Linked DNA regions of Yarrowia lipolytica. The protein of the gene in region 2 purifies or fractionates together with the protein of the main gene of each other region. This does not show direct contact. Links are inferred from orthologs where the notes say so. Each region holds a gene or a part of one and is shown on either strand. Other genes may lie near its edges.

Evidence for each region.
Region 1: the proteins of YALI1_D27884g (region 2) and YALI1_D22704g purify together in Saccharomyces cerevisiae (affinity purification with mass spectrometry; 3 studies listed by BioGRID). This does not show direct contact. The link is inferred for Yarrowia lipolytica from reciprocal best matches to the Saccharomyces cerevisiae genes MRPL19 and MRPL3.

Annotation. Positions count from the first base shown.
Region 1 is NC_090773.1:2,268,479-2,272,100, reverse strand, and holds YALI1_D22704g (mitochondrial 54S ribosomal protein mL44), read right to left. Parts: upstream 1,695-3,622; coding exon 501-1,694; downstream 1-500. Other genes in the region: YALI1_D22691g (uncharacterized protein), read left to right, coding at 2,426-2,428, 3,003-3,272. UniProt on the Saccharomyces cerevisiae protein: Component of the mitochondrial ribosome (mitoribosome), a dedicated translation machinery responsible for the synthesis of mitochondrial genome-encoded proteins, including at least some of the essential transmembrane subunits of the mitochondrial respiratory chain.
Region 2 is NC_090773.1:2,786,706-2,789,362, reverse strand, and holds YALI1_D27884g (mitochondrial 54S ribosomal protein uL11m), read right to left. Parts: upstream 960-2,657; coding exon 501-959; downstream 1-500.

The sequences.
Region 1 (3,622 bases), about 520 kb from region 2:
CCTCTATTGTAGCTGTTATATTGATGCAGATGTCATCAATTGTATATCTCTCCCTGTTCTCTAACCGACATCTCAAGAATACTGCAAAAGACGTCTACAAATAAAAAGTGTGTCAAAGCTGTTTTATTTTGGTCCATTTTGTTTTTATCGAGTATACAGCTCTCCACCATCCTCTCTACTGCGCGACTCTGCCCCACGTTCTCGACATCATCACCTAGACTCCGGTGCAGGAACCTTCCACTAATATTTCAAGTATGCTGCTTCATCATCAACAAGCAATAGGTAAGGAGTGCACTCCAACCAGACCACTTCAGTTCTTTACAAAACATTCGTAGAATGGGTAACGAAAATGTAGCTAGTCTACAAACTGAATGATCGCAGAGAATTCAGTTGTCTACTCGAAACATACCTGTTCCCGCTCCCCATGCTCATTGAATCATTTTATTCGACGTCGACGTCTCCGGCACTCCTTGTGTCATGCCTCAGCTCTACTATATACACTAAATAACAACGGGACCCTTGTCGATAAAAGTCCCATTGTACCCCTCTTCCTGGGGTCGGGTCTGCTCAATGGGGGAGTACAGGTAGTATCCCTTGAGAGCGTTGACCGAAGCTCGGATCTTGGCCTCGGCAAGCGACGCTCCCTGGCCTTCTCCAAGCTTGTGCTTGCCGGAAAAGACACCAACAACAAAGACGGGGGCCTTGGACAGACGGCCGGTCTCGGCCATGAGTCGGGCCTCAGGTCGCTCCAGTCCCTCTCGTGCACACACTCGCACAATCTCCTTGTGGGGCTGGTTGAAGGAGAAGAGCGACTCAACGTCGACGGCTCGCGACAGAATGAAGTTGTCGATGAACTTAAGCGCCTCGTCTCGCGACACGTGTGCGTGGATGGCGGCCACCAGAGCCTGCACAAACCGGGCAGCCGATCGCTCGTAGCCCTCGGGAGCTGACGAGTCAAACACGTAGACCTGCGAGTCGTAGTTGTGCTGCGAGTTTTTCTTTTGCTTCTGGTTGTATTTCTTCACGTCGGATCGGGGAGTGTAGGAGTCGAACACACCGTCCTTGGAGGCGTTGCTGACGTCGTCCTCCACGGGCTTGTATCTCAGGTAACCCAGGGTGTTTGCGAGCGAGTCGTTGGACATGTGTCGCTCAAAGGCAGATCGTCGGTCGGTCTCGACACCCCAGGACTCGGCCAGACGAGTCAGAGATCGCAGACTCAGATGGGAGTCCAGCAGTGAGTTGAGAATGGGTAGAGGAAGCCGGGGGTACTGGACCACAAACTTCTCCGTCACGTGATACTTGAGCAGACTGCCGCCAAACACAGACATGCCGTAGTTGTCGGCCAGCTTTCGGCCGTCCTCTCCCACAGTGTCGGCCTCGGGACAGGTCAGACACTGGGCCAGAGTAGACAACGGCAGAGCCTCGGGCAGACCAAGACGAGCATGCAGAGTTTTGAGAGCAGGCGACTGTCGGGCCAAGTCACCGGGGACGAGGTAGTCGCCCTTGGCCACGTCTCGAAGATTGACACTCAGATCAGAGTTGGGGTACCGAAGAGCTGTGGGGTCCATGGTGGGGGCCTGGGGAGGAGTCTTGGGTTTGTGGTCAGAGGTGAAGCTTCTCGGGGCGCACGTGATGAGTCTGGACCGGGACACGGCCACTCGAGACACCCGCAAAAGTCGACTGGTTCGAATCATCCTGTCGTGGTGATATGTGGAAAGTGAGTTGTGAGTACAGCTGTAGGGAAATTTTCATGATGCACAGGGTTAGGGTGTGGGAGGAGGGTGGTAGTTTCTGGGCGAGTGTCGACCTTTGTTAGAGTTTGGGTAGTGATAAATAGTTTGAAATGAGTTATTTAGTGTATATGGCTTTTTTTTTCAAAAAAAAGTGGTATTATTGATATATAACAACGCTCGTAATCTGTATGTAGAAGGGACATGAGGAATTTCATTATATGGTGAAAAATTGAAATTATGAAAAAAATTGAAAGATGCAATCGATTTTATTAGCACTTTAATTATCATCTGATTGATTTCTCCATTAGTTTCTGATCATGTTCATATATTTACTCTGATTTGTTTCAACTTGTTCATTATATTTTGATTTGTTTTAGCTTAATCATTATATTATGATTTGTTTCAACTTGTTGTGAGTATGTTCCCAATAGTTCCCAAAACAGCCCGAGTATCTCAAAAAAATTATATTTTAGTCATTAATTTTGCAATCACCTAAAATTCTTGTCAATTTATTATCCACATTTTTCCTAATTTATCCAAATTGGTATAATGGCGAATCGAGCATGTCTCCATATCCGTGTCCCGGCTGACTAATAAAAATAGAGTTCGCTCCCAACCACCAATCACCGACCAGCCAAAGACTAGAGGTTTGCAGAAAGGTAATCCACACACTAACTGCAACATATATCAAAATGGTGAGTGCGAGCGGAAGGATTGGAGGGCGAGAAAGCGACGAGAACGTGTGCTACGCATGCGACGAGGACATGGGTGGTTTTTTGTTGGTTCGAATCGGACTTTGGAGCGACATATGACCCAGTGATGAGATGAGATGCGATGACATGTGTCTGGGTGAAACGACAACGATAAGGGCTGCGTGATAACGACAAGGGCTGTGCGAGCTGCTTGCTGGAAGATCGAAGCTGACCTCGGCGCTTGATCTGAGCTGTCATTGAACAGACACGGTGGGTGAATGTGGGGTATGACCATCCAATGGTTGCAGCAGCATGTCAAGTTGTGTCTGAGATCGTGAGCAGAGATGCCACGTATGAATGAATGAACGTCATGGACCCGTCATTTTCACTGCTCAGTTCACTCCAATGACAGTCTCATCGCACTGCTCGTGGAAACGCTCGGACGCGCTCAAGGCAGTGGACCCCGAGCACGACAACCAGACGCAACGAACAACGACCCAAGCTAATATCATCGTTTCTCAATACTCCATAACTCGCCGTAACGGCGCTTTTGTCTCATTTGACTCTTCTAACCCAGGGCGGAGGACGATATCCATTCCCTAAAGACGTCATTTCTATGACCGGAGGCTGGTGGGCCAACCCCTCCAACTGGAAGCTCAACGGCCTTTTCGCCACCGGCATCGCCGTCGGCCTGGCCCTGTGGGTTTCTACCGCCACCCTTCCCTACACCCGACGACGAGAGGGCATCACCTCCGAGTCCGACATTTCCAAGTGGAATGCCGCTGCCGGCGTGTGGAGAGAGCGACACGGCAAGATCAGCACCGGTGAGGCTGCTGAGTCTGAGTAAACACAATAGATTGATTTGAATGAACCATGCCGACACTTGTGCAGTCACTACTTGTAGTGTCACAGCAAGTTGGTTGTAGACCCAATCACTATCGCTGCAGGATGCTTCGGGTGTCTGGCTACTTGTATTTCGTACAATTACTGCTTGAAACCTGTGTCGCGTAGATATCCTGTGGTTTAATATCTCTGGAAGAGCGTCTGAGAGCACAAGTCCTTGTATCGTGAACATGCAGACCCAGCCGAGACTCCGTCGTGCTGCAGATGAAATCGATACGACAGATGAGTATATGTACTGCCTGTTCAACTGGGTGTAGTTCGGGCGGCGTTATACTCCAATCGGTTGTTCCCCAC
Region 2 (2,657 bases):
AGTGCTTCAAACGCACTGGGTGTACTCGAGTATTGTACTTGTAACAAGAATTGGAAGTAAAATACACAAGACTGTAGTTTTAGTTCCAACCTCGTACTTGTAGTTGCCGTACTGAACAAGGTGGGATCGTAAGTTGGAATCTCTTCCGAACAAGTGGTGCTGAAAGCAACTGCACTTTCACCCACCTAAGCTGCTGTTATGGCACATATCGAAAGCCACACTTGGGAGAGATGAGCTCAAAAAAGTGAAGTTCCTGTCGGAATCCGCTATTCAAGCGAAATTATTGTCTGTTAGCACTTTTACGATAGCCCATGTGCACCTCTAGAAATAAACGCATCATACCAGCCAAGATCGATTACCACCGCGAGATACACTCCACCACGCCAATCAGACAGGTTCCTTCCTCTCCCATCATCGAATCATAACTTCATCTTATCTTTACTATATACATGCTCTGTCTGTTTCCCCGTGTGCTTTGATTCTCTGTCTCGTCCAGGCCTCTAGTTAACAATCTCCACGCCAACAGAAAGCGCAGTTCCACAGAGGGACTTGCAAATGTTTTCAAGAGGCTGGTCCTTGTGTCGCGAGTCCATCTTCTTGATCTTAGCCAGCTCGTAAATGTGTTTGAGAGACAGCTGGCCAACGGGCTGATCCCGGCCAGGCTTGTATTTGGCAGCTCCCTTCTCGGCCCCGGCGGCTCGCAGAAGCAGGAAGGCGGTCTGGGGCGATTTGAGCTCGAACGAGAAGGTTCGGTCGGGCTTGATGGTCAACACAACAGGAATGGGAATGTTGTCCTGGTAATGGGCCGTCTTGGCGTTGAACTCCTTGCAGAAATCAATGGCCTTGACACCCTTGGATCCAAGCACGGGTCCGACGGGAGGCTGGGGCTTGGCGGCACCGGCGCCAACGATGATTTTCACAATGGTGTTTGCAGTCTGGACCGCTTTTTTGGGAGCCATGGTGGTGGTGATGTTGAGAGTGGAATGAGCTGCAGGTGAAATTTCACTTTAGAGTTGGTTACCCGGGAGTGGGAAGGGTTGTGGTGCATTTTTTGAACATGTTTGATTTTGATGCGAAAAGTCCTAAACCAATACTAAGCGAGGCACAAAAAATGTCTGTCAACTTGTTTATTCTCTTGCGCAGCTGTTTGAGCCAGTAGATGATGATTTTAAATCTGGTGAGAGATAAGGTTGGTCTCGAAACCTTATTTGAACCGATATTTGGAGAGATTTGAGCGGGTTATAATGAGAATATTTGTGTGACAATTGATAGCTATTGTTGTAATGTTGAAGTAATACCCAAGTCTAGTTTGGTCTGTGTCTTTTCCAGACTTCTCCAATGAAGTTTTCTGCAGTCACCACCACCTAAATTTAGTTACATTTTACTTGGGTTTGTAACCAGTACAGTTGAGGGTTGTGAGACTGAGATGAAGCGTCATAGTGCTAAACGGATATATAACACCAATATGAATCCAACGATGGGCCATATAACAGACTAAACGGTATTCTATCTGTTGTATACTCTGTTTTATACTACTCTTGTGGATTATGGAACCCTTACCGTGATTCCACTTTCAACTATGGTAAAGTGATGAACATGGTAGTTATCAAACATGGTATGAACATGGTACAGTACATACTGTAGTTATAAAACATGTAGTGATAAACAGGGTAAAGTGATGAAACAATGTCAAAATTAATATTACTCTGTTGTCCTAGCTCTGATGAACTGAACTATCAACTTCTCATCTTCCTAGCATCTCTGTGAGACGAATTGGATTCCACACGTTTGTAGATAGCAGCGACGTGTGCAGATATCAGCTGCTAAATATAAGAACCAGACACAAGCTCAGTCCAGAGATTTCTTCTAGAATCCTACGCAAGATAATGTATCATTCAATCCCACTTACAAATAATCATCTGATTGGTTCCCCACCCCTCCGTCTCAACTTCCCTTACAGTCAATTGTTGTGTTTCAGATCAACCCCTGTTTCACAGTTGGCTTTAGTTAACTCCGGAAGGCTCCACATAAACTGAAGCCAGACTACAAATCGCACTAGTGCTACAATCACGATTCAAAGAAGCCCAACTTGTTCACCACGGCAAATAAACCCTAACAATTGTTTCCCTGTTCTTTTATAGCCTCCAAATCCACTTGCACTATACACCTTCCTTTACCACCTCCCTCACTAGACTCTACTTAATCTTCAAGTGAAATTTCTTAACTCCGTTGTTGAACCCAAAAACCACCACTTAGTAAGCCACATCTGCCGCCTCACTCAAGGGAAATACACACAAAATGGGGATGCTCACTTTTGTCACCGTCGACCCGGTCTCACTCACCTACAAGCACTCGAGAAGAACAATTCCCATTCGGTCGCCAATGTCCGAAAAACCCTAACCCTACCACAAATAAGCCTTTGCCACTTCCTTGCACTGTGGGGTGAGTGGTGTGTCTCCACATACACGAGATAGAGAGACGTGGACGGAACGTCGAAAAAGCAGTGGTATCTACGACAACAGCAACCAGGCGATCACGTGACCCACGACCGAACGAAAGCACGTGACAGATCAATTTCAGAAGCCGCGTGAAACTCCACGCAAACCAGACGGGAACAGCAGACACACACACACACACACACACACAATAACGCACGA